Linked DNA regions of Elephas maximus indicus. The protein of the gene in region 1 interacts with the protein of each later gene in a pairwise test. Links are inferred from orthologs where the notes say so. Each region holds a gene or a part of one and is shown on either strand. Other genes may lie near its edges. The genes, in order: SORBS3, SOCS7, KIAA0408 and CPNE2.

The links.
Region 2: the proteins of SORBS3 (region 1) and SOCS7 interact in binary tests that used the Homo sapiens proteins (3 or more experiments, as listed by UniProt). The link is inferred for Elephas maximus indicus from reciprocal best matches to the Homo sapiens genes SORBS3 and SOCS7.
Region 3: the proteins of SORBS3 (region 1) and KIAA0408 interact in binary tests that used the Homo sapiens proteins (3 or more experiments, as listed by UniProt). The two-hybrid records come from large-scale screens. The link is inferred for Elephas maximus indicus from reciprocal best matches to the Homo sapiens genes SORBS3 and KIAA0408.
Region 4: the proteins of SORBS3 (region 1) and CPNE2 interact in binary tests that used the Homo sapiens proteins (3 or more experiments, as listed by UniProt). The two-hybrid records come from large-scale screens. The link is inferred for Elephas maximus indicus from reciprocal best matches to the Homo sapiens genes SORBS3 and CPNE2.

The regions. Positions count from the first base shown.
Region 1 is NC_064840.1:52,127,569-52,135,121, reverse strand, and holds the start of SORBS3 (vinexin), read left to right. Parts: upstream 1-4,552; 5' UTR 4,553-5,064; intron 5,065-7,553. UniProt on the Homo sapiens protein: Vinexin alpha isoform promotes up-regulation of actin stress fiber formation. Vinexin beta isoform plays a role in cell spreading and enhances the activation of JNK/SAPK in response to EGF stimulation by using its third SH3 domain.
Region 2 is NC_064837.1:45,971,192-45,978,200, reverse strand, and holds the start of SOCS7 (suppressor of cytokine signaling 7), read right to left. Parts: upstream 3,009-7,009; 5' UTR 2,805-3,008; coding exon 1,840-2,804; intron 1-1,839. UniProt on the Homo sapiens protein: Substrate-recognition component of a cullin-5-RING E3 ubiquitin-protein ligase complex (ECS complex, also named CRL5 complex), which mediates the ubiquitination and subsequent proteasomal degradation of target proteins, such as DAB1 and IRS1.
Region 3 is NC_064819.1:195,510,244-195,518,085, reverse strand, and holds the start of KIAA0408 (uncharacterized protein KIAA0408 homolog), read left to right. Parts: upstream 1-4,823; 5' UTR 4,824-5,478; coding exon 5,479-5,504; intron 5,505-7,842.
Region 4 is NC_064839.1:24,036,245-24,043,812, forward strand, and holds the start of CPNE2 (copine-2), read left to right. Parts: upstream 1-4,557; 5' UTR 4,558-5,177; intron 5,178-7,568.

The DNA.
Region 1 (7,553 bases):
AGTATGTTTTGTTTTGATACAAGGGATTAAGAATTTAATGGCCAATTAGGTAGTCTTTTCTTTAATGTTGATGCAGTTAAGGAAAAGGTTCATCATAGAATTCAAGGAGGTGGGAAGACAAGGTTATTCTTTGTTTAGAGGCCAAAGCACTACCTCATGGTATCCACTAGTCAACACATTAGCCCTCTTGTCTTATTATCTCAGTATACCTGAGCTAGGAAAGAAGGATGATGCAGACCTAATTTTCCAACTCCTGGTTCTGTGCCCTTCTTTGTGGCTGAGTTGACTTGGCTGGGTTTTCCCTCTGAGGTCATCACTCATTTATCCTTCTCGTATAAAATCTATTGTCTAAAGAGCTGACAGCCACTTGCTGTTTCCATCTTGCCTGAGAACTAAAAGCGGTTCATACAGTTCAGTTCTTCTCAAAGGCAACAACATTGTGCTTGTTTGCTCATCTATAAAAAGAGGAAGAGAGAGACCAATCGTTGATGTGATGTCAGTGTAAAGGCTTCCTTGGGGATAAGCTAGATACACTGGCCAACAGGCTGAACTCTCTCACAGCCTTCAGGGTTTGGATTTGATTGACTCTGAGAACCCTGAATAGATGCCTGTTACAGCATGCGAACGCTATGGAAAGATCTGTGCAAAGCAGGCCTGAAAGCCTCATAATGTTACTCCTATGGGTTTCCACGCACTCATCCTGGCTGGCCTAACACTGACATACTTGACCTGTATTGTGTAGCTTTTCACTCTCAGAGATCCCTCACTTCACAGTGACTACCCCCAAAACACTTGGATTCCAGATGGGCCAGGCTTGGAAATAGCCCTTTCCTCCTCTGCCGTCTCCTGTTCCCATGAGTGGCTGACACAGACAACGGGCATCAATAGAACTTGGCTGGCAACATAAGCAGGCGCTAGAATCAGAGGAGGACCAGGAGAGAGGAAAGGAGCCCAGGGGGTGAAACAGTCCAGATTTGTGCTCGTACATCTGGTATGACTTTATTTCAGTCCCTCACCTCCCCTCCAGAGAAGACCAAACTCCTCCAAAGGGACAGCACTTTCTTTCCTAACCCATTCTTGTCTACTTGCTGAGTTCCCCTGGCAGGAAGAAAACACTTTTCTGAGAGCACAATTGAGAAACCAGCTCAAAGCCTAACTGAAGAATATGCCAGGGCTCGTCTGCCCTTCCTTTATCTAATACGGGGGACTGAGGCACAGAGCTGGGGAGCCTCTTGGTTGAGCAGGGTGGAGCTCAGCAGTGTGACATGAATGCTAGACTTCAGCCCTGGATAAAGACACTCCCCAAGAAACGAGAGTCCAGGTTTACGTCTTCTGGGATCCCTTGCTTCCCTTTTCCCATTTGAGAAATGAAACTGAGTTCTCTGCTCTCTCCTACTCACCTGACCTTCCTTGTTACAAAAAAAGCTACTTAAGTGCTCTTTCCATTCATCCTTTCTCTGGCGACAGAGGTTGGTTTTCAGAGTGACCTTCATTTCTGTATGAACAGCCACCCTCTTCTCCCCCTCCGTGTGAAGAGCCACATCCTTTATTGGCAGTCTCTTGGCTAATGGTCCTTTAGAGTGGTGAGAATGGACAGACTTCTGTTGACATGGGCGCTACTGGGGGATAATCCACAGAACAAAAGGCGGCAGCCTAAGGGGTGGGGAGGTGGGGGACAGAATACTGGTGACTGGGATCAGATTGCTAGGGAAACAGAGCAGTTATGTAACTGTGTTTACTCTGGCTCAGGTGGCTCTGAGAAGGCAGAGGGAGCCTCCTGACAAAAGGCAGTGCCATAGGTGGAGAAGAGGCCGACTCACAGGGAGGGAGGTCCCTGTTGAAAGATATAAGGGAATCCTGCCCAGGAGATAGCACATTGGGATGAAAGGAATCTGCTCTGTTGTTGACAACAGCTAATGTTATCTAGGACGACCTTCCCTATCCTCAGTCTCTCCCTAGAAAGATGCCTGCTGTGGAGCTAGGCCAGCAGCAAGTAGAGCTGAAGCTAGAGGGAGAAGTTGAGAAATCAGACACCTGGTTCTTTTTTTTTTTTTTTTTTAATTGTGCTTATAAATGAAAGTTTACAAATCAAGTCAGTCTCTCATACAAAAACTTATACACACCTTGCTATGTACTCCTAGCTGCTCTCCCCTTAATGAGACAGCACATTCCTCCTCTCCACCCTGTATTCCCCGTGTCCATTCAACCAGCTCCTGCCCCCTCTGCCTTCTCATCTAACCTCCAGACAGGAGCTGCCCACCAGATACCTGGTTCTTGGCTGAATCCCTGGACCTTGCTACTTTTTTTCCCATCATTCACAGTTTTCCAAGGAGACGAATTTTTCTCCCTAAATATGGGCAGAAAAGGAGGAATTAGCCACACAGTTCCTTATGTCTTTCCTGCGCTATGCTCCCACCAATCTCTCATCCTCTCTTCTGTGAGGTCAGATGGGCACCATGGAACACAATGGGGGGATCTGGTCATAGACCCTCCTTTGTCTAACAGAGAGCCTAAGACTCTGGGAAGGAGAGTGTCCACTGGTGCCAGGGCAAAGCAGGTTCTGACCTGAGAGAGAAGGTGGTAAGCCCGGAACAGGGGCCTAGCGAGACAGGCAAAAGTCAAAGCAGCTTAGGAAAAAGGCTCAGGTCACCACCTGGGCCTGTCCCGCCTCCTCTTGCAAAGCTGTTTACTGGACTCCCTATTCCCATAGTGATGAAAGTGGTAGCCAGTCCCCAGCTCCTTACCGATGGCTGCCACCTCCCTTTATGACAAACAGGAAGTTGGGACCTTTGTCAGCTCAGCTGCAACCTCTGTTAAATATTTATCTTGGAGTCCTGGTCAGAGCCCTAGAAAGCAAAGGAAGCTTGCTCCTGGGGAGAGAGGGTATGGCCAGGATTCCCAAAGTTGGAAGATCTTCAGCGTCACCATCTTTGGAGAACAAGGAAAAAAATGAAAGTGATGTGGTCCTTTCTAGTCCCACGGACCCTGACAGGTAGGAAAAACTGGTGACTAGGGAACATTGATTCCAACTCGAATAGTCGACTCCAAGTCATAGCGACCCTATCTATAGGACAGAGTGGAATTGCCCCATAGGGTTTCCAAGGAGCGCCCGGTGGATTCGAACTGCTGACCTTTTTGGTTAGCAGCCATAGCTCTTAGCCACTATGCCACCACAGTTTCCAAGGGAAATGAGCACATAGTTTGTCCCTGAGGGAGGAAGCCCATAGTACCTAGGGGTGGTAAGTATCCAAGTTTTAGGGGAGGGAAAAGGCACGGCTGCCTCCCCTCAAACTCTTCCTTGGAAGCCTTGGATCTGCTTCCCTATCATTTACACCCAATGGTCCCACTTCTGCTCCTAGACCCACAGTGCAACCACTCTACTTCCACGTGGCAACCCTGCAGGTACTGGAAGATAGCCAGCATGCCCTGTCTCTCCTAAGTATCCCCTCAGCCTAAACATCTCTTTCAGCTGTTTTCTATGGGACATTGTTTCACGCTCATTCTGGGCATCCTGATTGAGCTCTTTCAACTGCATAGAAAAAATATAAAGCTAAAACGTTCAGGATGGTAAAGGTGGAAAGTTGTTCATCCCCTTCCCCACTCTCAACTTTTGAGTAAGTACTCCAAGGTGTATTGTGGCCTCAGAGTACAAACCTTACACCCAGTAGGTATGCGGTCCATGTTTACATGTTTTCAAAATCTGTCATTGTTCTGTCCCAAAAAGTATGTGGAGTTGCTCAGTTACTGTTGGATTGTTGGTTTGGGGCCTGGGGTCCCACAGCCAAGCCAAGAGCTAGAAGTACTCCAGCGTCTGTTTCCATTATCGATAAGCATTCATTAAGCATCCCCGCTTTCTACAACAGACCCTGTGCAAACAGGGCGGGCGGGGGAGGGGTGGCGTAGCCAGAAAGGTCAGGGAGCCCATGGGCGGGGCTCTTGGGGCTTGTGCCAGAGCAGCTGGAACAGCGGAAAAGCAACAAAATCAAAATAAATACGGCGTATGGGAACACCAAGACCCTCCTAACCCCATCCCGGCCAGAGGGGCCCCACCCTCATCCTATAGAGGCGTGGTGCGCCCAGTGGGCCGCTCCCTCAGGCTGACTTTCTCCCCGGGCAGTCCTCGGTGCTTGCACGTGTGTGAGCATCGGCATGTTTGCAGGCGAGTGTGTGTGTGTTTGCACACGTCCGGACGCGTGTCTACGCAAGCACAAAAATCTTTCTCCAAGGCCTTAACTCGTTCCGCTTTGCAGCTCTGTCTGGGAGGCCCTCGGCGTTCTCCGGCTTATCTTGGTCCCAGCCTGTCTTCATCTCTGGCCCGTCTCGGGCTTCTCTGAGGTTGCGGACTCCGTATCAGCTGCTGGCTCGACTCGGGCCCTGGGGCCCAGGGCTAGTTCTTGTTAATCATTCCTGCCCTGTCCTGGCTCGGCTGTGCAGCCGCTCCCTTCCCACAAGCTGGAAGTGTCGCTGGAAACTCTGAGTGGCCTTTGCTGGCTCCTCCGCCCCCTGTCCGACGCCAGCCCTGCGGTGGGGGCCGGGGAAAGGCAGCTGGGAAACCAGAGCAGGCTCCCCGGGGACCTTCGGGTGGCTCCTGCCGGCGCCGCCTCCCGGCCGGCCCGGCCTCCTGGGCCAGGAGCCACCAGCGTCCCCGCGGGGCGCCCGGCCAAAGCCCGGACGGAGGGCACTCGCACGCCCTTGGCGGGCTGTCCTCGAGCCCCCGCCCCGCGAGGCGGGAAAGGGAGTAGCCGGCCCCCCACCCCACCCCTCCGCAAACAGTCCAGATTGGAAACACAAACTCCGCCGGTCGCCCTCCCTCTGCCAAAGCTCACGTCCCCTGCCTCCCAGCGCGCTCGCGCTCGCTCACTGCCTCTGCCTCCTTCTTCCTCCTCGTGCGCCCAGCCTCTCGGAGCCCTGTCCTGACCCGGTCACGAGGGGAGAGAGCACATCTCGGACTTCTCCCGGGCCCCTCCCTAAGGGCCCGCAGCGGCCGCGCCAGGCGGGAGCCGAGCAGAGATGCTCCTGCCCTCCCAGGCGGTCTCAGTCCCCGCCACCTGCTCGCCGGGGAAGGTAGGTGCCGGCATGGAGAGGGGCGGGAGAGGAGGCGGAGGCCGCAGTCAGGGAGAGACCAGGGAGCCAACCCTGCCCCGCGCCAAGCCCAAAGGGAAGGCAGTAGAGCCCCTCCCCTTGGGGTCCTCAGAGGCTGGGCGTCCCAAACTCAGGGAAACTGAGGTGGAAAGAGCTTGGAAGTTCCTCCCTCCCGTCAATCCAGAAAAGGGGAAAGTTGAGAAGTCCACGTGGACTTGTAGCTGGACCTGGAAAAGTGCGTAGGGCCAAGACCCCAAGGTCAAAGCAGCACTTAGAGATGGGAAGGTGTTTGCCAGCCGAAGTAGAAGTACCGCATCTCTTCCAGCTCTTTGGAGCTGGCTGTTTGGAAGGAAAGGGGCTGGATGAATTCTGGAAGGACACCAGAAATGTCCAGGCACCCTCTGTCCTCTGCCAGATGCAGGTCCAATTCCCCTGGGTGCCTCATCGTCCCTATGAAAAGCCCTCCCCAATGTTTCCTGGCAGGGCTTCGAGGAGAAAAACTCAGACTACCCTTCCCATCCCCACCTCTGTCTATCCCTGAAGGTTGGGCCAGATGGGGGTGGGGTGGCAGGCAGGCTGAGGCATCAAGGGTCAACAACCCCTGAAAACTCAAGTGGTTGGGGGGCACCTCCTGCCCTCCATCCACCACTCTACAAGAGGGCAGTTGTCACTGAGTACAGAGTGGAATGGGGAGGCTGGGAAAGGAAGAGTCTGGTCAGCTGACGGGCAGAGACTGCAGATGCTGACCAGGCAACTTGGCCTCAAGCAGTCAGCTGGACAGGGAGGGGTCCCTGCTTGGACCTACCCTGTCCTGGGCCTCCTGACCTCCCACTCTCCTCTGCCTCAATTTCCCCACAAGGAAGAGAGCAGTGGGGGAACTAGGATGTGTCTGCATGTTTCGCATTTGATAGGAGTCTTAATGGGATCCAGCTGGTGAGCTGCCCCTCCTCCAGTCTCAGCCCTCCACTCCCCACAGCCACGGAAAAGCTAGATCCCCAACAGGCCACTGCTCGAATGTCAGAAGGAATCCCCCCAAACTCAGACCAGAGACAAGGAGCTGCCCCCAGCTTTGTCTGTACCCTTGCCAACCCCCCCCAAGGCCTGACAACCAGTCACAGCCCCTATGCACCCTCATCTCCTCTGGTCCCCGCAAGTCGTGTGCTGCTCATATGACCACCCACTGCATACACACACCCACATACAATTCAGCTGACTCCCTTCTGTACCCACAACCCATGCTGCTCACATGATCCCCACTGGTGGCACCCCCACAAGTCAGAGCCACATCACTCCACCTCCATTCCCATCCCACTGGCTGCCCTCCCCATGAACCCCCACCGACCCCACAGGCACACACAGTCACACTGAGCAAAAAGCCCAGAACTAGTCTGGCCCCAGAAGGTAGTGGCCCAGTCCAACAGCAAAGGTGAGGTGGGACAGCCTCCACACCAGTTTCTGGGTAGAAGAGCCTCATTAGACACCCTGACCTGAGAACCTCCTCCCTGTCCTCTTCCACCCACCCCTCTGAGTTCCCTTCCTCCATTTCCATCTCCTGAATGCCTGGAGCCCCTTACCCCTGACCTAACCTCAGTAGAACCTGGCTGGCCAGGGAAGATCCTCCATCCAACAATCAGTCTGAAGACATAGGAGGAAGTGTGTGTGTGTGTGTGTGTGTGTGTGTGTGTGTGTGTGTGTGTGTGTGTGTGTGTGTGACCATGTGCAAGAGAGCACCAGGGAATACCCTCCAGGTCCACCTTTCCTCTCACCGGCTACTTCTCTCCACCCCCTCCTCACTGCACGCTGAACCTCTGAGTCCTCAGTCTGAGGGAAGGGAGATAAAGGATGGAGCTGATACTCCCTTTGAGCTCAGAAGGAGTGGTTCCTGCTGCCTGGAAATGCCCCCCACTCTACCCCTCCCCGGAACCTTGGCCTTGTTCGGGTTTAGGGTGCCACCACTGCTTCCCAGCGGGCAGTGGGCGGTGCCCTTGCTGTTGGCCAGGGCCTCTCCCCTGGCCTGAGTTGCTCCTTGTGCCCGCTGGCAAGCAGATGCTCACTCAGGGACTGGGGGAGGCAGAGGGAACTGAAACAAAGTCTCATATCCCCCTACCCCTCTCTGCCAGTTGCCCCAGTTCCCCTCTGCCTTCCTCTGGGGGAGCAGGCTGTGCTATGCAGTGAGAGCCCCAGAGAGGCTGCCCAACAGGGCGAAGGCCGGAGCTTGGTCCTGCAGACCTGCATGCCCAAGGAGGCTTTGTCCAGCAAGCCTGCTCCTGGCCAGCCTTCCCTCCTCCTTGCCCAGGCCTCCCCCACCCCCACTCCCACCAGGAGCTCCTGCCCAGGGCCTAACAAGCAGTCCATTGTGCCTATGGGAGCTGGCACAGGCAGCCTGCAGGCGGGTGCCCACAGTGGCCTGTTTCCTGGGTCCTGTGGGCTCCCACCCAGCTGACCCCAACCCCCTCCCAAGGTTTTCCCCT
Region 2 (7,009 bases), on another chromosome or scaffold:
GGAATCTGGACATTTATATTCTCCACACAACATGCTGGCTCCTAACAGCAGTCAACCAAACGTTTGTACACAAATACCTAGCTCTTCTTCAATTCATCAGAAAAAGCCCCTGGACCAAAAAATGTAATTCTCCAGTGCCCTGAACTAAGCTTCTTTGCAGAGCTACAGCCCAATTTGCTCTGCGGCAGACATCTGTATTGTGCTCAATATGAAGGTTGGTGACAGAGCAACCAATGACCATTAAATTCTGCTTCCAAAGGCAAAAAACCGTATAATGTTATATGCCTTTTCCTCTTCCTAATCTATTAGACGTAGCAGCTAATTTCACGTCACACCTCATATTTGGAGTCTCTAGAATCCTAGACCAAGTCCTGGTCAATATGGAACAAAGGCAATGCAAACCACAAGAAAATTAGCAATCTAACCTATGTCATTACCCATAGCTTCAATCCCATCCTCCCCCGATCTGATGAAAATTTCATCCCCACTGGCGAGTGGAGCATCAAATGCAGAGCCTACCACAAAAAAGCTATTGCAGCAGCCACACACTTTTCAAGACCTGAGCTCCCAGCATGAGTTCAGTGGGAGGCAAATGCAGAAATACTGGCCTACCTGAACCGGCAACAAGCATCGACCTACCGATTTCTTTAGGGAGTTTGAGTTTGGTCTGACACCCAGAATGAGCCCAGGGCACAGTTGTTCAGAAGGAGCAACAGAGGCAAATCAACCCCACACCTTCCTCCTGGAGGACCCAAGTTCCCTTGAAAAGAGAATTTCATGGATGAGTGATTCCCAGTCCAGGTCATACTTCTGGGGAGGATCAACTGGGAGGTTTTTTTTTTTTTTAATTCAAATTCTTGAGCCCTAGACATACTGATCTCATAAAGTCCCCCCCCCCAAGTGATTCTACTGCACAGTAAGGTTATCAATTTATTCATCCTGTTATTTAGCCCGGGCTTGTGGCTGCCAAGACATCTCGGGAATCTATCACATAAGCCACACCAACACCAATTCAAATCTAAGAACCCATCCAAAAGCACAAACCACAATGGCAGTTACCACAAGGGAAGTCTCATTTCATCGACACAAAAGTTGACAGCTTTCTAAACCAATACTGGATGTGTGAGAACAGTCCACGCTTCAGAAACACAGGAAAACAAGCAGCTCAATGTCTAAGTCTGGAATTTTCATCAATTGCCCTAGAGCTGACGTACTAATGTCTATACCTCATACTGAGAGTTCTCACATGGGCTTGAGAACAAACCTATTCTCTATTCTCACAGACACTGGTCAGCACACAAAAGCCTGGGACAGCCAGAAAGCATTAACTTTGAGTAGAGATGCCCAACTGATTACTGGCCCACAACTGCCCAAGTTCATCCCCTCATCTGTATGCATGAGTGAGGAAGGGGGTGAAGTGCTGGTACACAGACAGAATAACAAGCAAGGCGGTCAACATGCAACACCAGCTTTCTGCCCCAAAGGCCAAACGTTTACAGCAACCTCCCTACCAGGGGTAATTGTAATACCCAATTTGGAAAAGCAAAAAAGAAAAAGAAACGGGGTGGGTGCATGGTTTCAAGTCATCTCCAGACTCAAACCTTGCTAGTCAGTTGAGAAACATCATGAGGTGTGAACTCAAGGGTTAAAGTTGTTCCCACAATTTCCACCAGTTCCAAAGGGACCTAATGGAAGCTGTCACCATCTTCAGCCCTAAGTCTCTGCCACCTCCAGAACACCAAATCTTACGAATTGGCAGAGCGCCTGTTAGCAGTAGAAAAAAAGAGGAAATGAAACAAGAAAAGGAAGTTTGTCAGCCAGTTCCCCATGCGGTCTCACCTCCCCGCGTCCAGCTCCCGGCCCGCAGAGCCACCCATGTCTGTCAGGCTCGCAGCTGAAGCAGCCAGCTCTCCAGAAGGCCTCTTGCCGGTCCCATCACCACTGCCGGATCCACCGTTGCAGCTCTTCGTACGAAAGAGGCGACTGAGACGGATTTTGAGGGAGCCCTTCCGAGAAGGACCCGCGAGTGGCCGGAGGGGCCCCGGAGGCGGCGGGGGCGGGAGAGGTTGCTGCGGCTGCTCCCCTCTACTCAAGCGCGCTCGGGGAACCAAGTCCTGCAGCGGGAAGGGTACGGCGGGTAATTCGGGGCCTGGGGGCTGCAGCAGAAGCCGGCCGCCCCCTCCTCCTCCGCGGCCCGGGCTGCTGAGCTCCTCTTCCGAGCAGCTGTTAGTCTCCAGGCTCTCGGCCTCGGATTCCAAGCCCTCCAAGACCAGCAGCGCGTCGCTCGTCTCCGTGGGGTCCTCCCCGGCCTGCGGGGTGGCAGCAGGCGGCTGAGGCTGCGGAGGGGGCGGCTGCGCGGGGCACGGGCACGGGCAGCAACCCGCACCGACCATCTTGACCCCCGGCCCCGCCGGTTGCCCGAGCCCCAGAGCCGCCAACTGTGCCTCTAGTCCAGCCGCCGGGCCCCAGGTCCGCTCGTGCGCCAGCCCCGACGGCAGGGCCTTGGGGTCCAGAGCACAGCGGTGCCGGGGGCACAGCAGTTCCGAGGGTCCGGGCTCCGGGGCCGCCTCCGCGTCCTCCTCCTCCGGCGGCCGACCCACGTTGCGGAACACCATCAGCTGCGGTGGCCGGGAGCCCCGCGGGCCCGGCCGCGCGAGGAAAGGTGGTGGCTGGGGGCCATGGCCGGGGGGCGGCGGCGGCGGGCCTGGCTCCGGGGCCGCCTCTCCATAGCCGAGCAGGCGGCTCAGGACGCGGTACGAAGCGGCCGCCGCCGCCTCGCCATCCCGGAGCTCGGCCCCCTGCATCGGGGAGAGGGAGGGAGGGCGGGCGGCTGGGAGCCGGGCTGGGGTGGGGACTAGGCCGGGCCCCGCCGGAGCCCCGCCCGCCGCGGCCCCCGGAGAGACAGCGCGAACGGCCGCCGCGGCCTCTGCCTCATAGAGGGGGGCGGGGGGCGCGCGGAGCGCAGCGCGAGCCCAGGACGCGCGCCGCCGCCGCCGCCACCGAGGACCGCCCCCCGATGGCGTCACTTCCGGGAGGCCGTGGGCACGCCTTTTTCCTCGAGGGCGTGCTCGCGTCGCCTCCACGGCGCGTGACGTTGCGGGCGACCCGGGCCGCTATTGGACGTGAGCTGCCTCCATGCTGGCTGTTGGTCGTCTGCTTCGACCCTTGCTTTTCACTTCCCGGGTGCTGGGGCTCTGCCTAGCCCTCTCAGTAAGGTGCAGCGGCCCTGCAAGGCTGGTCTGGTCACGGCAGAGAGCCGCTGGCCTTGGGAACACCTCTGGTTCTGGTCTAGCCTATGTCGCTTGTGATGTATGACCTTGGCCGAGTCACTTCATCGTAAATTTGTTTCCCCGTTCCCTCACTCCTCACCCCTGGCCGCCAATGAATATTTGTTGAATGATAACATGAATATATGTGTTCTAGACCCAGGGGTGTGCTGATCATGTTCAATAACCGGTTCTCTGGTGGAGGAGTGTATGCATACAAAGGTATATAAGTTCATCATAAATTTTACTGATATAAAGGATGTGTGGTATAAAATTGAGAAATAACATACAATTGCAATGGGTAACCAACCTATGGTTGCAGTTGATCAAGGAGTATAGTTGTAGCGTGAATGCTGGTTGACATTTTCTTCTGTGTTAATGGAAGTGGAGAAAAAAATGACTGGATTGTCAGTGATGGGAGCCGCCTTGCTGAATCAGAAAGCAAGGGTTCAAATACAGGAGGAAGATTTCCTCAATTTCTGTGCCATTCACAATGTAACAGCTACCATATGACATTATGTTTAAATTTAACATGACATTATGTTTAAATTCAGTATGATACTGTGTTTAAATCTGAATGATTAATAGTTTCTCCATCCTTTGCTTCAATCTAGATAATCAACAAAACAATAAATCAAGCTCGATTTGTATCTCTGTTTGATTTCCCTGGTATAAATACGCCCACCGTGGCTGCTTTTGAGCTACCAGCTTGACTTTTTTGAACAGAGTTAGGAAGAAATGAGCAAATAGCATACCATTATATAATAGTGCCACCATACAACGGATATAAATAACCCCAAAGCATAGATAATAGTAAAATAATTAGTAAGTGGTGAGTTTTGAGAATTTATCATCTTTATTTTTTAATTTAATTTATTTCATTGTAATTTTATATAATTTTATAGTGGCTATGTTTAACAACCAGCTTGAAGAATTTCTGAAAATTTAACAGTTGGCTTTCATGAAATGCTACAGGCTGGTTCCCGAACACCACCAGGCTTCAATTTCCTCATCGGTAAAACAGATAAAGATTGCTGTTTTGCTTACTTGCAGGAATGTTACAAGGATTAAGGAAGATCAAGCTTGTTGGGTAAAGGAGGTGGGACTGGAGGCAGGGAGAGCAGTCAGGAATCCACTGCACTTGTCCCAGTGAGAGATGAAGAGGAGTGCAAGCAGGCAGGAAGGATCAGCAGAATTTAGCAACTTAAGTACCTGGGGGCGCAGCAAGGGGAAGAGGGTTGAGTCCTGCAGCGAGAGGGACACTTTCAAAATGAAAATTTATTCATACCCCTTGATTACAACAGTTCCTGTTTTCCCATTGCTCTTAGGATAAAGACAAAACTCCTTAAATCGGCCTACAGGGCCCTGTGTGGCCCCTGCCTCTTTCTCGCCATGTCTCCCACCAAGCTCCCCCTTGTTATCTCTCTCCTGCAGTCCCACCAACCTTGTGTCGGGCTCCCAGGCGTATGGCCACTGCGCAAGCTGTTCCCTTTTCTTGGAAGGTTTTTCTCTCTTTTTGCTTAGTCACCTCCCATTCATTCTTCAGATTGAACTCCCTTCTTACTTCTTCAGGGAAATCCTGCCTGGGCACTTCCTCCTCACCAAGCTCAGAGACCATTCCTTTGTCGCATTTAATTGCACAGGTGTAATTTGTCATTAAGGAGCCCTGGTGATGCAATGGTTAAAGGGCTCAGCTGCTAACCAAAAGGTCAGAGGTTGGAACCCACCAGCCAATCCACAGAAGAAAAGACCTGGCGATCTGTTTCAGTAAAGACTACAGCCTAGGAAACCCTATGGGTCAGTTGTACTCTGTTCTATAGGGTCAATATGAGTCAGAATCGATTCAAAGGCACACCACAACAATTTATTTTCTTTCCATGGGGTTGTTTGATGAGAGTCTGTCTTCCTTATGAAGCTATATGCTCCATGAGGGCAAGGGCCATATTTGTTTTTTGCCCATCATGGAGCCTTTGGTGTCAAAGACGGTGCCTGGCGCAGATTAGGCCGTTGATAGGTAAGTATGGAGCTGTTGTTCAACTTCAGGCATTGCAAAAGGCTCCTGATACAAATTCATGTCTAATTCTGCACAACAGAATATCTTTCCGTGCACATGAAGAAACTGAAGTTCAAAGAGTTACTTACCTAAGGTCAAACAAAAAAAAAGGTGCAGTAAAATTCAAAACCAGCTCTGCCTGACTCTGACTCCACAGATTTCATTCTCTACCCTCCCTCCCCTGCTACCTGTCAGGTGTTACTTAGGTTTCTAGCAGAAAAGAAGAGCAACTGCTGTAGGATCTCAGAACCCCTGAAGCCTAAGAGGCTACCTAAGATCCCGGACTGTCTCTGGGAAGCTCTGGCCCAAGAACAGAATCCCTGACAAAAGGCAAGGTTTCTGGCTCTGCACCGCCCTCTCCTGTCCAACTGCTTCCCTGGCCGCAGAAGAAAGCTATGTCCACCACCTTCACTTGCACCACCAGGGAACACACACGGGCTCTTTCAAAGGCTGAGTAAAGAATGCGGCATTTCTCATTTCCTTAATTTTCCAGCCTGTAGCCCAGGTCCTGGGAAAAGCATTGAAAATTAAGCTCTAAGCAAAGGAAGTGTATTTTTGTGCTTTATGACTTAAATGTGTGTTTGTTATGTCTATACATACCACTTTCATTAAGGGCTGTAAAGTGGTCCCAGCAGCGGTAGGATCCTAGTCAGAAAGATGCGTGAAAAACAACTTAGAGAATCTAAAGAAGTTCTGAGGTTCATTCAGTCAGTCAACGTTCATTGAGCACCTACAGTGCCCAGTGGGCTATGGTTTGTGGGTGCAGTGATAAGTGAGATGGACACTGTCTCTGCTTTTCTGGAGCTTGCACAGTCTAGTTTGAGTCCTAATCATGCCATTTCCTGGATGTATAACCAAGAGCAAATAATTAAACATCTTTGTATCTGTGTTTCCTTTGTAACAGTGGTTCAGTAATAGTCCCCCCCGCCCTTACAGGGCTGTTGGGATTAAATGAAAAATTATATGTAAAGGTGCTTAACAAATGCTAAAACACCATACATATGGTCATGATTACGGTAAACCTGTGAAAGCTGTAACCTGTGTAAGGTGGAAACCAGTCAGAGAAGGAAAACTCAAATATTTTCCACTAAAACAAGGGATAGAAAAGTGGCAAGACTGCACCCTGTCAAAGGTGGAAAACTTTCAAGACCCGGAAAAAACAAGGCAGTCCCATCAAGTTCCAGCTCTCACAAATTTCACTATATTATGAAAAGCTTTTGGGAGGGGGAAATCGTGTTAACTTAGTGTGATATCTTCACCCAGTGTTTTGTTGACCCTCAACTACCAATAAGCAGTAATAGCAGGAAGGTAGACTGGGTCACTGAATCCTCTTCATCCCTTGTCTCTGTTAGACACAGAATCAGAGACGTCAAGGAAGATCCCCAGCGTGCCAGTCACTAGCTTTGTGGGATGTCACCTTCCTCTCAGGGTTTTAGTTTCCTTTCTATTAGAAAAAGGCCTGGACTGTGGGCCCTTCTAGTTCTGACATAGCAGGGATTCTCCTGGGGGCTTGACCTCTAACCCCAGCCCTTATCCTCACACTTAGGATTCCACAGCAGAACTGTTGTTTGCAGAGGCCATCTATAAAGCATGAGAAGTTTTCAGCAACACCATCCATTCCTTCCTACATGCACTCAGTGATCTGGATATCAAAGGGTGGGGGAAGTAGAAGAGAACTCAGGAGTCAAGA
Region 3 (7,842 bases), on another chromosome or scaffold:
TGTTGTAGGCTACTCAGGATATAGGCAGGCATACTGCAGGTCACATTTCAGGCATCTTCAGAGTTGTTTTAGTTACTGAGAACAAGGATTTTTCTGACCCATCTTTGAATCCCTGTAGTCGCACATTACACCTGGGACAGAGATGGTGCTTACAAATGCATTTGTTAATAGATGTTAATTGAAGTGCCAAGACCTCTCCCTAAAAATTTAAGATTACTTAAATTTCAAGACAATTCCACTAAACAGCTGAGATCATGTATCTTTACCCACTGCCATGGACTCAATTCCGACTCACAGCGACCCTGTAAGACAGAGTAGAACTCCCCCGTGGGGTTTTACCAAGGAGTGGCTTGTGGATTTGAACTGCCAAACTTTTGGTTAGCAGCCAGGCTCTTAATGACTGCACCACCAGGACTCCTATCTTAAAGTACTTTGAAAATTGCAAAGGGAAGACATTATTCTAAAAGATAGGATTACTTAAAATATAAGTCGCTTACAATAGTCTGTTAGCTTTAATATGCATGAGTTCAATTGTTCAAAAGTAATTTTTTTCTAATGTTTTGAAGATAGAAATAGAGTACCCCCCTTATTGGTAAATATGTTTAAAGAATAAAGGAAGCGTGACTGAAAAACTATATAAGCAAGAAGTTAGATCCATTTAGCCTCACACAGAGTTAAAGTGTAAAGAGATTAAATATATAACTGTTTATGATGCTTCAGGATCATCCTTCAGACAGAATATTATAAATTAAGTGCTTACTGGCAAAGTAGCTGCATTTATCACCAGATTTTTTCAACCACCCACTTAAAATCCTTTTGTGTCTGTAGTTTGACCCAGTATTTATATTAGCCGAGGACACAAGCCTCTTTAGGTAAATAGTAACCAGGACACATACTCTGCTTTATGACTCCTGTGTTATACTTGGAAGACAGCATAGAGTATCATCTCCCTCATTTGGACTTAGAAGAAAATGGAATTTTAAATTTAACAAAGCCAGAAATCAGCCTCTCACTGTCTCCTCACAGCCTGAGTTCTATTCCCTTCTCTGGAACTCCTTGGAATTTTAAAGTTCATGGCACTCCACTAGGAATGAGAAGACCTGGATTCTATTCCTGGCACTGCTAATAAGTGGCTTTTTGACCTTAAGCAGTTGACTTAACATCAGGGCCTCCTTCCTTAGCTGTAAAATGAGAAGTTTGGCTAGATGACTTCAGAGGTTCTTTCTGACTCTGAAATTCCACAAGTATGGAAACACTTGATAGTGACATTTATGAACTCATAATCTCTCACCCTTTCCAAAATATTTTCTTTGTGGCTTAATATCATTAATAGAGAATTTTTCAAGCCCCTTTCCTGAATTTTCTTTTTTGTTTCTTAATGACATCTTGTGTTTCTGCATTTATTTTTCACTAAGTATTCTTAGGTACATTTGTTTACATATTTGTTGTACATTGAAATAAAATAAGCATGTCATCAGGCATAAATGTTTTAATTCTTTCTGAAACAGAGCAATAATTTAGATCAACTTCTGTTTGAAGGTTTAAAAGTTTAAATGGTTTAAAATTATCCTGGATTACACAAACAAATTGCATTTTTCCGTAAGGATTTCAGCCATTCTGACAGCTGCCTGAAAATGTCAGGAAGTTCAACATATCTGAATATCATTGTAGGGCTGAGTTTATAAGCCTCAGTCTTTAAATCTATTCATTTTATGTATATAACTCTAGGAACTTATAACAAAGTTTTTAAAACAAAAGTTTTTAGGGAGAAGATTGAAAAACACCTGTACTGAATATTTATTGCTTTCAGATCCTGTCTTCTAACTGGGTTATTTTATGACTTCCTTTCAGTATGAAATATAGCATGGAAATGTTAGATAATATATAAAAAAGAATTATTTAACAACCAGTGTTGGTAAGTGTTAGAATAAGTGGTAGATTTGGAGTAAAATACTTGTCAAAGCCTGCCCTTAGTTTTTGATTCTATATACAGTTTAAGATCAACTTTACCAAGAAGCAGATGAAGCAGATGCATTAAAGAACCCCGAAACATGCTCAAAAAGGACATTAAAATATCACCATTTAGTGACAGTGTCAAGAATGGCCCAACATAATGTCTCCTATAATTTAGCCACATACTACCTGGGTTTATGATGGGATTTGAAAAACAGCCTTAAATAGATTTATAAAGAATACATAGAGCTTAAAAGTTCTGGAATGGAAGAGAAGGTAGGAGGAACAATGCGTAAGTCTGCATCGATGCTGTTGGAGAACCCACTGTCCCTCCCCCCAGGATCTTCCTCCTTTCCAGGTAAGGGTGGAGGCAGAAATGAGCACATATTTATTGTGTTCCTAGCACTGAATATATTCCTTCATATTCTTACAACAACCTCATGAAGTAAATGTAAATGTCTCCTTACAGGAGAAACCGAGGCTCAAAGATCACACAGTTACGTGGTGGCAGTAGAACTGAAACTAAGATCTCAAAATTCCAAGGAGTTAATTACAGTTAGAGAAATGGGTTCCGAGCCCTACTCCACATGGGTGCGTTTCTATGAACTTTGGCAAGGTACTTCTTTAAGCCAAGGTTTTATCAATAAGGTGCAGTTAATAATAACTCCAAACAGTTGCTATGAAGGTAAAATGTGATAAAGATCTAATCTAAGTACTTAGCACAGAGCCTCAAAGAGAGTTGGTCCTCAATGAATAGTCACTATTATTATACATGTATTAAAGTCCTACTGTTTGCAGATTGGAAACACTGGTGCCATAGTGGTTAAGAGCTACGGCTGCTAACCAAAAGGTCAGCAGTTCAATTCTACCAGGCACTCCTTGGAAACCATATGGGGCAGTTTTACTCTGTCCTATAGGGTCTCTGAGTCGGAATCAACTTGGTGATAACAGGTTTTTGGTTTGGTATGCAGATTAGGGAGCCCTGATGGCACAGTGGTTGAGTGTTTAGCTGATAATCAACAGGTCATTGGTTGGAACCTACCGGGTGCTTCCCAGGAGAAAGATGTGACAGTCTGCTTCTATAAAGGTTACAGCCTCAGAAACCCTGTGGGGCAGTTCTCCTCTGTCCTACAGGGTCACTATGAGTTGGAATCGACTGGCCGGCAGTCCTTTTTTTTTTTTTTTTGTATCCTTTACTCAGTTCCCCCCAATGGTAAAATCCTGCAAAAGTATAGAATAATATCACAACCAAGATATTGACATTGATACAATCCACGAATTTTGTTCAGATTTCCCCAGTTTTACTTGTACACATTTGTTTGTGTGTATGTTTCGTTTTATTCAATTTTATCTCATGTAGGCTCGTGTGTCTACCACAACAATCAAGATACAGAACATTTCCAAGGATCTTTCCTGTTGTCCTTTCATAGCCACAGCCTCTTCCCTTCTGCTCTCCCTGTCGTCAATCTTGACAACCACTAATGTGTTCTCCATTTCTAAAATCTTATCCTTTCAAACACATTATATAAATTAGATGCAGTATTTAATCTTTTGGGCTTGACTTTCTTCACCCAGCATAATTCCCTGGAGATGCATCAGGTTGTTGCATCTATCAATAGTTCACTTCTTTTTATTGCTGAGTATTGTTCATTGTGACGCAGTAGTTAAGTGCTTAGCTGCTGAAACCAAAAGGTTGTTGGTTTGAACCCACCAGCCACTCTTCGGGAAAAAGATGTGGCGATCTGCCTCAAAGATCTATAGCCTTGGAAACCCAGTGGGGCAGCCTACTCTGTCCTGTAGCGTTGCTATGAGTCCGAACTGACTGTGGCAATGAGTTTTTGAGTTTGAGTGTTCCGTGGTATGGATGTGTCACAGTTTAACTGTTTATCAATTGAAGGACATCTAAGCTTGTTCTAGTTTTTTGGCTATTGCGAATAAAGCCACCAGGGACATTCATTTACAGGTTTTTGTGTGGATGTAAGTTTTCATTTGGCATCTCATTGTTCAATTAGCATTTCCCTGATTACCAGTGAGGTTGACGAGCTCTTCATATATTTATAGATCATTCATGTTTCCTCTTCTGAGAAGGGCCTATTTTGCTCGTTTTGCTATTGGGTTGGGTTTGGTTTTGTGCAGATTACTATTTTGACACTTTTTAGCCTCCCATAGAGTAATTATCTTGAAGCAGGCACAGATGTGAAAGTGAATATATAATGTTTTAAAGATCACACAGAGGAAACCATTCTGACTTGAGTATGTTGTGAGGTGCTATCAAGTTGTTTTCGACTCATAGTGACTTGAGGATAGGACCTTATTATTTAAACTTTACACAGCATATTTGCTGAATTAGATTTAAAGTAGCTGTAGACTTTTTTTTTTTTTTTATAGACTTACCCTGGTGGAGTAGTAGTTAAGTGCCACGGCTGCTAACCATAGGGTCAGCAGTTCGAATCCGCCAGGCACTCTTTGGAAACTCTATGAGGCGGTTCTACTCCGTCCTATAGGGTCGCTATGAGTCGGAATCGACTCGAGGGCACTGGGGTTTTTTTTTATAGACACTAATCGAGAAACAAGTACACAAAACCTAGAAATGTTCCTGGGGAGGCAATTCTAACATTTCCATGGTAGGCCAATTTGGTCATGGCTCAGGAAGCCTTTCCACACATTTGGGCTGCCTTGTTTTCCTGTTTTGGCAGTAGCACACCTTAGCTGAAACAAGCACATGGGTACCTAGTTTATTCTTTCCTCCCAAAATAAGCAGTATCATCCCTTGCCATGGTCCTGATTTCTTCTAACCTAAAGACATCACCATCATTGTACATACAGGCAGCTATAATAGACTTCATAAAGAGCTATGAAGTCAGTCTTTATATATGCCCCATTCGTATTTTATATAAAGACAGAAGTTTGTTAAGCTTTCAAAAATCTTTTGAGACACACACACACAGAAATTGGTGCGCATGTTGTTCTGCTGTGCCCAGTGGTAAACTCCTATCGGCACTGAAGAGTGCGTCCCAAGGCTAGCCAAGGAGGGGAAGGTGCGAGGTATGTCAGGAGGGGTGGATTCTTGTCTCTAAAAAAAGGAGTTTACTTTTCCTAATGAGAAAGCTAAAGTTGGCCATTGTCATTGTGTGATATTAACACCAGTCCTTCTGGCAAGTTTGAAAATACTGGGCTCCATTATAAAAGTTAAAAATGTCCTGGACCTGGAGTTGTTTACCCAGAGCGTGAGCTGCTCTAAAGTTACAGAGCTCTGGTTGGAAGAGGTGGCTTGAAGGCCGCCTCCGAGTAACTGACGTCACAGCAGTTTCAGCTGCTGCTGTGACACTGAGCTGAGCAGCTTTTTGATTTGCGAAGCTTTCAAAAGGACTTGTCAGTACTGCTCTGTTGAATGGTTGTGCTTATTTAGCATTCCCATTTCTTGTAAAAAGGCAAGATTAACCGAGCTGAGACTTTTCTCTTTAGGATAACTAGCTATCCTTTCTACTTCCTTCCATTGCTAGATTGACCAGTGGTCGAACGTGCATGGGATTTTTCCCCACTGCGAACAGGTATGTTTTCTTTCTGGAAGTTAGAAACCAAGTGCCTAATTGTGGCAGAATATAGAGGGGTAGCTGACGTGTTTCAAAATACGGGTACTGTTTGAGCTGAGGGTTATTTCAACATCTGCCTGTGTCTCTGCGTCTGGTTTTAAAAACAGCGGGGCGGGGTACATAACGGATTGTACTGACTCCTGGGGACGAGGCGATTCAGCTGCTGAGGGTGGATTTCCCAATTCTGTACAGAGTGCCGTCTACTCTCTGAGCTTGTATTTTTCAAACGCTGCTTCTCAGCACTTCGAACAATACTTTGTACACAGATTTCACTCAATATATTTATTAGAATGAAGAGTTTTTTTGAATTTGCAAAGTGACGTGTGCAGCCCTGGAGATTGCTGGTATTTGGAAATCGCAGTTAATAAATAAATAAATGTAGTTTTATCCAAGTTTTAAGAGTTTGCTCATTGCATGATGACAGTTTCTGTAATTCGAGTGCCATTCATTATGGATTAATCTCCTGCAGGTAGAAGGGAACCATACCATCACATCTTCTTTTGTTTATGCTCATTAATTTTAGCTATTTGTTTTCCCAAGACAAAAGCATCTTTCAAAACTTTTATTTTATAAGCTAACTAGAAGTAAAGCTAGTGCCCCAACAGCTTGGGTGTTTTCTACTTGGAGTAAATAAACAGGAGAGAAAAAGAAGGAGAAGACAATTAAATGAGGAGGCAAAATTGATTTCTTTGGAAATTCTTCTGGTAGTGTCTGCTTGACCTTGTTTGGAACATGAGGAACATGCTGAAATTGCAATAAATAATAATAAAAATGTTTCCTTTTACCCAGTAACAAAATCTAATCATGGTAGTCTTTAGAAGGATGCATTTGCAAACAAAAGGGGAAGAACAAGGTTGGTTAATTAGTTGAAATGATGCAAATGATTTATAATATCCTGGAGAAATGGCAAGAGTATTTTGGAGGGAAAAGGTGCATTACTCCAATGGATATGGGCATGGGAATCCCTAGTTTAAAGTTAAGCAGAAACAGAACCTGCCCAGGGCAAATGATTCCTCCAGGAATTGTAAGGTTGGCAGCCCCTAGTGTTTGGCATTTTTATTGGAATATATATAATCATCTACATTTGAAAAATCTTCAGTTATATGAAAAGTAATATGTTTAGAAAAAGGAAATAAGAGAGCAATAAACAAGTACTAGGGAAAAAAAATCTCAAAAGCGAGACGTAGCTATTAAAAAAAAAATTAATAATTTTTTTTTAAAAAAAGCCTTCCCTAAAACTCTCTTTCATTGTTTGGCTAACATTTAGTTTTCAATGGAGAAGATGGAGGTCAGAATGGTAACCATGGAGACATAGTAAGAATGAAGCACCCTTCAGATGAAAGACTTAGCATGACCAAATTGAAGCTGATTTGGGGAATGAAAATAATTTGTCAGAACCCTGACTATGTTACTCTTATGTTTTGCTCACTGGTAGGGCCAGAGGTTAGCAGACTGACTGTTTTTCTCCCATCACCATACTAACTCAACCCACTCACAACTCTTTACAATTCTGGCTTCCAACTTTGGGGAGGGGGAGGTAGGTTAAAAGGAACTACTTAATGCCAGCATATAGTTGTCGTAGACTACTTATGTAGTTCACTCTGTCCTTTACACATTAGCTCTAACAAATTTTTATTCTGAATGAAATTCTAAAAGTAATGAAATGGAGAATGAAAGCGACATAGAGGGTAGGGCACATAGCAGAAATCCTTCTTTCTCTCCCACATAGATGCCGATATCTGTGGGAGAAAAAAGTGGCAGCTATGAACAAAGAGAAGGGTTGTGTTTGCCTCCGTAAAGAGCACTGAAATTGAGTTTTTGTCTGCTGGACCAATTCACCCCGTAACTTTTCATTACAGAACATTCTATTCCTACAAAGATGCCCCTTCAATTTAATATTTTTTATATTTAACATAGCATTATAACAAAAGTAGCTTTTTAAAGATTTGTCTATTCAAATTTTTGCTAACAATAAAAAAGCTGTTCTCTAAATACTTGCCATGTATCCTTAAAGTACTTGAAAAATACTGAGGCCAAAGGAAAGTCATTGGAAATAAAAGAGATTTCAAACAGGTGAAGACTTGCTTCTATAAAATTTCTAATGAAAGATCAGCATAAGTTGTGTTCTAGGGAAAGAAAACATTGAGGGAGAGGACAAATAAAGGGAAGGAGGGAAGGAAGATAGGAGAAAAGGAGGGAGAGAGGGGCATGATAAGAAATCAAGAAATGGACATTTATCGAGCACCCACTGTGAGCCAGAAGAGTGTTAGCACTTTTACGGAGCATTATGTCTCTT
Region 4 (7,568 bases), on another chromosome or scaffold:
CGCCACCAGGGTTTCAACCAGGTACCAGGAGTTGTATTAATTTGCTCAAGCCATGAAACCACATCTGGAATAGCAGCTGCAATTGGAGTCACCAGCTGGTTAAGTTTATGATAATCCACTGTCGTTCTCCAAGATCTGTCTGTTTTTTGCACAGGCCAAATAGACAAGTCGGCTGTGGATGTAGTGAGAATTACCACCCTGCATGCTTCAAGTCCTTCACGGTGGCAGTAATCTTTGCGACTCCTCCAGGAATACAGTATTGTTTTTAGTTTACTATTTTCCTAGGTAGAGGCAGTTGTAACGGGTTCCGCTTGGTTTTTTCTACCATAATAGCCTTTACTATTATGTCGGGGATCCAATGTGGGGGTTCTACCAGTTGCTGAACATGTCTATTCCAATTATGCATTCTGGAGCTGGGGAAATCACTACAGGATCGGTTCAGGAACCCACTGGACCCACTAAAACTCCACTAATAAACTGATCTGCATATGCCCCGACTCTGACTGGTGGGCCACGGTGATATTTCAGGTCTCCTGGAATTAGTGTCAGTTCAGAGCTAGTGTCCAGTAATCCCCAAAAGATCTGATTATTTCCTTTTCCCCAATGAATAGTCACTCATAAAAGGCCATAGATCCTTTTGGGGAAGGCTGGGAGAAAGATCAATGGTATAAATTTTTGACAGTTTAGTAGGGTGCTTCTTCAAGGGAAGCTGGCCTCCCCTTCATTCAAGGAGTTGTGGGTCTAAAACTAGCTCAAGTCTGGAAATTGATTGAGGGTTATGACTCTCTATTCTAGCAATTCAAGGTAGACTGCTGTTCACTTGACCTAGAATTCTTCTGCTTGTACAGATCAGGTAAATATTGAGTAGGTTTCCATCTATTTCACTCCTGGGGACACCATAACTAAGTAGCCAATGCCACAAGCCCATACAAGTCAGGCAATTCTGATTACTGCTTTGACTCTGCCGTCCATTATGGTAACCACGCCCACCTTGTCTTTGTTGATTAAGTGCTGCTGCTTGGCCTCTACCACCATGGGGTCCAATCAATCCCATGGTAATTAGGTGTCTTATTCAGTTAGGGCAGTCCCCACTGTCAAATCGGATGTACATAAAATAGCATTCACAGCAGTCTTCGAGGATGCTGGGGCTCCCTTCACAATTTTTTCCCTCGCCATTATGGTAAAAGCTGTGTCCTCTGGGCACTCCATGGATGCGTTGTGGGTCTAACCTGATAAATCTACTCTAATATGCCAATTTCCCTAAGCCTTTGGATATCTTCTTCTACCATATACCAAGGCAGGTCTAGCCCCTCAACTTGATTTAGTGTAGGCCACAGCTTAATCCATGCTTCAGTGAATGAACAAAAAAAAAAAACCTATTAGATCCTTTTCTAACCTCTCAAGCTGAAACATTGAATGAGGGATCTATACTTACTGGGTCCATATCAATAAACTCAGACTGATGCAACCTTATGTTCCTTGCACTATTGTTCCACACCCTTAATAGCCATTCCCACACATATTCCCCAGGTTTCTATTTGTACAAATTAGAAAAGTTAAGCAGTTCTTTTGCAGTGTAGTGTACCTCCCCCTGGGTCACACTTTGTACTTCACATTTTGGGGCTCGCTGGAACTTAAGCCTAGTTATAGGCCTAGAAGCAAAAATGGGTGGTGTGGGTGGGTCCTGGGAACATTCAGCGATGCCCCAGGCAATGCCCCAGGTGCCACCCCAGGTGGTATCTCAGACAAAGACACTTCAGGCACGGGTGGGTTAATCTCGTCTAATGAGGGTGAAAAGGATAATGGTTTTCCTGGGGAAGGTGGCTTAGCTGACAAAGATGAAGTAATCTCTTCAGATGGGAGGGCTTGTTCTGTTGGCAGGAGTGATTCAACAGAATTTAGGGGTTTGATGTCTCCAGTTCCCTGATTATCAATCATATTGTCCTCATCCCAAGTTTCAGGATCCCATTTCTTCCCAGTCAACACCCTCACTTTAACTTCAGACACCATTCAAATTGTCACTGTAATTCAGCCACTCTTACAATAAGACTCTGGGTCTGGTTTTCGGCAATATCAACTCTGTTACTACAAGACATAAGGCTTTCTTTCAGGGCACAAGTGGCAACTTTGACGTCTTTTATGTGGCACTTGAGTTTTGACTCTGAAGCCTTCAGCTCATCTCTTTCTTTCACCACTTTGTCTAGTGAAAGTAGGACCAACCAACCAGCTTCTGTATAATTCATTCTGACAAAATTGTAGAAAAGTATCAAATATGCATTCATCCAGATTCTTGCCTCTAACTGATATGTGATCTATCGGTAGTGATATTTTCTGTATTAATATCACCACCTCATTCCACGGATTAGCAGTGCCCTCTTTACTACTGGAGACAGAGTCATCAGTGCCTTTAAGACTAGTCAGACTTGAGAACAATTTAGAAAACTCATCCTTGTAATTTTGTTTCTTTAGAACCATCCTTGGTACCAAATGTCTTAGTTTGGGTTCTCTATAGAAAACTAGTAAATTGTATATATATATATATACGTATATATAGAGAGAGAATTTTATCTCATAGAAATGGCTCACATGGTTGTGGAGGCTGGCAAGTCCCAAAGTCCATGGGTTAGGCATCAGCTGGAGGTTTCTCCTGACTCACACGGTTGCAGGGGCTGACACACCCAGAATCGGCAGGTCAGACAGTAGGCTGCTGGCTCACAGGACTGCAGACCTGGCAAATCCCAAAGTCAGCAGATCAGACAACAGGCTGTTGGTTCAAGTACCGAGACCAAGAGGTCAGATGATAACAAGCTAGAAACAGGATCCAGAGCAAGCAAAGGAGCTTTTCCAGAACATATACATATAGTACAGGCCACACCCCTGGAGAAACTCCCCTTAAAACTGATTGGCTGATCTCACCTTGGAGGTGATTACATTATATCATAAAATGGAGGATAATTACATAATACTGAGACTCATGGCCTGGCCAGCTCGGTGCATAACATCAGCTAGCACAAGTACTTTATTCCTTTTAATGGTTGAATAATATTCCATTGTATGGATATATTACATTTTTATCCATTCATCAGTTGATGAATATTTGGGTTGTTTCCACTTTTTGACTATTGTGAATAATGTACAATTTTTGTATAGACACATTTTCATTTCTCTTGGGTAGATACCAAGGAGTGGACAAAAGGTCGGCAGTTTGAATCCACCAGCTGCTCCTTGGAATCTCTATGGAACAGTTTTACTCTGTCCTATACGGTTGCTGTGAGTTGGAATCGACTCAACAGCTATGGGTTTACGGGTGGCCTTTGCACTCTGTCCCCTTGGCCAGGGATCTAGTATCACCTTGCCCCTAGCCAGGCCAACTCTCTTATCCTTCAGGTCTCCTAGAGGAAGCCTCATTGACTCCCATGGCTGAGCCGGGTCTTCTGTGCTTCTGGGCCACCCCACCTCCAACTTTTGCACTTTTCATGCAGTAGTATGATTGCCTGAACCCCCGTCTCGCTCCATAGAGGTGAGCAACTTGAGGGAAGGTGGCAGTCTGTTTGGGTTCGCCACTGCCTGCCCCTGTGCCTGGCTCTCCTACTGCTGGAACAAGGAGAGGAGAGGAATTCTGGGGCCAGAACAATCAGGAAAGGCTTCCTGGAGGAAGTGAGGCTGGAGCTGGGTCTAAGAACGCCTATAGGTGGGTTTTTGCCCCAGAGCTGGGCTAAAGAATCTGAGAGAAAGAAAGAGGAGAGCTTGGAGAAAGGAAGTCACCGGGGACAGACAGGCAGAGAACAAAGCTCAGAGCCCTGGGGCTGTTTAGTGGTTGCCCCTCTAAGACTGCAGAGTGCCTGTGACTCAGATGTGGAAAGAGGTTTGCAGCCCGCAGTGTGAGTCTCCCATGTTAACCCTCATCTGCCCAGAAAGAAAAACCCAAGATAAAACCGTGCTAGGCGTTAACTCTCAATTGCCCAGTCTGCAAGCCCCAAGGCCAAGTGCTTTGGTCATACCCTTGGGCAACTCGGAACAGCCCTACCCCCTACCCCATGCAATCAGCTTAAACAAGGCTTGGCTGTCTGACGCTTTCGCATTGGACTTGCCCTGGGCACATAAATACCTCCGAGTGGCCAGCAGCAAACGCGCCAAGCAACAGAGGCATTTCTTAAGAATGGGTGCCTCTTCTAGGGAAAAAGAGGCCTTCACAGAAGGCTTCAGGGCCTCAAAGACCCGTCTAATTGCCCTCGCACTGGAGAGCTCTAAGCCCCGTTCTGATCGACCGTTGTTATCTTCTGTCAGAGAAATATGTGTCATCTTCCCAGCCCCTGGTGGCAAGAATACGCCGAGCTCTTTTGCTATGGGGTGGGGGGGACATGCATAAAGAAACAAAAAGGGGGGAGGCAGGGTGAGAACACTGCCGTCTGAATGAGACCGGATACCGCCCAGAACAAAGCCGAGTAGTGTATCTCCGAGGGCGCAAGGCTGCGCTCATCTGCCCTCGGGGTCGAGGCCTCAGGCGGCGGCGAGGGACCCCCGCAGGCCTGGGCCAAGCCCACCCCTCGGTTCCCTCGTCCGAGGCTCTGAGGCTCCGTAAGGGCTGGCCTGGGAGGGCGCGGACCCTCGGCGTTCCGATCCACGGGGTTCCAGCCTCGAACCTCCGGACCCCCAGCATTCCGGCCTCCAGCGTCCGGGCCCCCAGCATTCCGGTCTCGAGCGTTCGGGCTCCTGGATCCCGGCCTCGAGTGTCCCGCCCCCCAGGATTCCAGCCTCGAGCGTTCGGGCGGGTCCCGGTGGCGCTCGGCGCCCAGAGTGCCAGGGCGCGCCAGCTGCGGGCGCCGAGAGGCAGGCAGCGGGCAGGACAGCGCCCCACTCCGCCCGTGTGAAGAGCGCTAGTCCCTCCGGGAAGCTCGCGCCTTGTCTCCCCGCTTCCCTCCCGACACCGGCCCCCCCCTCGGCCGGAGGGAGGAGCCCGAGCTGCCGCCGTCGCCCGCCCGGCCCGGGAGGAGGATCGGACCGCAAGCGGTTGAGAGCGCACGCTAGCGGGCCATGGCCGCGCGGATAGCGCCCTGAGCCCGTCCCGCGCCCGCGGGCACGACCGAGCAGGGGGAGCGCCCGGGGATGCCCCGGCGGCCCGGAGCGCGAGTAGCGGCAGCCGCCCGGTGAGGGCGGCGGCCCCTTCGGGACCCGCGGTGAGTGGGGCCCGGGCGGGCGAGGGGAGGGCGGGGCGCCCTGCCGCAAGTGCTCAAGTTCGGCCTTGGGGCTCGGCTTTTGGCCGCAGTAGCGGGTCGGAAGGAAGCTGGGCTCCGCTGCGGGGGCTGCGACGCCCCCAGCCCCCGCCGCTCTTAAGCATCCGGACTCGGGCTCTTGGGTGACTCAGCTCCGACCCGGCCACGCGGGGGCGCTCCGGCTTCCCCCGGGCTGCGGGGGAAGGGGGGCCGGGGTGCGCCGGGAGGGTGGCTCCTTCTCGGGTCTGAGTCCAACCGTTTTACGGACCCTCCTGCCTCTCTCAAGAAGCCTGGAGGGCGTCTAGAAGGTAGCGTCCCCGCTGCCACCGCAGCTGCTGACAGCCTGAGGTCGGGGGCTTCAGGCAGGCGCCGGCCCCTCTCTGCGCCCCCTACCCTCGTTCGGTACTCCCCTCACCCCTGTTTCAGGGAATGTCCAAAGGCCAGCTCCTAGCCCGATAACGGAAAGCAGAGAGGGGGAGTGGAGCTGGGAAGCTTCCCAGAAGTCGATGTGTGTTTGCAAACTAGTTTTTTTTTTTTGCGCAAAAGCTGTCTGGCACCTGTGTGTTTAGAAATGGGTGGGCATGGCGAAAGAGCAAGGCCCTTTCTTTCTGTTCCCGCAGCGCTGCTGGTCTGAAATAGAGCGATCTCACTCTCACCCTCCCTTCTCTTCCCACCTCATCCACTGCCTCGGGCCCCCTCCCCCAATTCGGCAAGCTCTTCTTTGGAGGAGGGGCTCCCTTAGACAGGCGCCTTAATTTGTCCAAGGTCAAGTCACAGGTGGAACTCGAACCAGCTCTGGTAGCCAGCTGGGGGTTCATTTTGCTGTCTGTGCCTCACTTGGCCTCTTGTGTACTGGAGAAAGTGACAAAGATAAGGGGTCTGGGAGAATGAGCCGCCCTTTGTTTTGGCTGCCCTTAGTTTCGGCTTGCTTAGGGGTGTGGACTGTCACTGAGGGTGGAAGCTTGTTCTGCCCTTTGGGGCATCCACAGCTTCAGTGACAGAGGCCAGGGAGACCTTTATAAGAAGGAAAACAGGCATTTTTTCCCCGGTTGTAACCTTCCTGGGCAGTTGCAGCCTCCCTGTGGGGGGCCGTGATGGGGAACCTCCCTTGGGAGACCTCGCCCACCTCTGACACCAGGGGTCTGACCCAGCCTCTGTCTGATCCTCAGGGTCATCATCTGTAAAATGAGCTACTCCCTCAGGGCCTGCCTGCCTGGGAGCTGGACACAAAAACATAAAGGAGTGATTTTATTGCAAATCCCCTGGCATGGGGCCTAGTGAAAGAGGGGACTGCCCCAGGTGGGTGATGTAGTCTGCTGGGGTGGGAGAGGTCATCCAGGCAGGTTTCTCCATGGGAAGAACCAGGGGCTAAGGCTGTGGACACCTGGGGACACTTGGGTCTCTCCACACTCTGCCACTTCCTGCCTACCATGCCTTGCCACCCCATGGGCTTGAGCTTTTTCCATCTGTAAATTGAGGCAAACCATTGCACAATCCAGCTTGCAGGGCTGCTGGGAGGCTCAAACCAGTGGGTGGGGGCAGGCATTCTGCAAAGTGGGGTGTCTCCTGTGGTATTTCAAGGGATCCCCCAAAAGGCCATGAAAATTAAAAGCAGTGGCATGAGTGAAGGCCAGGGATAGAAGCTCGGTTTCTACATCTGTACAATAGTGTTAACAATACTCTGTGTACCATGCTAAATCTTTTAGGGTCATTGTATATTTCTTTAAAGGTAGTTGGGAGGATTAAATTAACTAACGAAGGGCTGTGTGCCAGCACCATGCCTGGTACATGATAAAAAAAAAACCAAAAAAACATGATAAGCGCTCAGTAAATGTTAACCATCATTATTCATGGGAATATTAGTAAGCCCGACGGGGGTAACTGCATTCAGAATTCCTTCTGGGATTTTCTCAGGGCAACCTGCTCCTCCCTTCCTGCTTCCTTTCTGGAGAGAGAAGCCTCAGAATGCAAACACCACTGACTCTGGCCCGTTGGTGACTTCTGGGCTGCTCTAGGGGCAGGAGCCTGGTGGAAAAGTTTACCACACCCAGGTGTGGAGAACACCATGGGTGGCAGGTCGGGTCTGGGTGCTCCCACCCCTCCACCTTGAGCTGGGGGCAATAAGGAGTGAACAGAAAACAAAGATCACCCTCTAATGATTCCCCTGCTCCTATCAGAGCTGGGACTATTCTCTCCAGGCAGGGTCCCATCCTGAGCAGACCCCTAGCCCAGGGCCTGATGGAGCTCCCCCTTCCTCTCCCCTCCGCTAACTCTGGGACTGCTGAGTCAGGAGGAAAACATTTCAGGAATCCAGCCCCCCCTTGAAGAATGTGGCCTCAGAAAGGCGGCAGGATT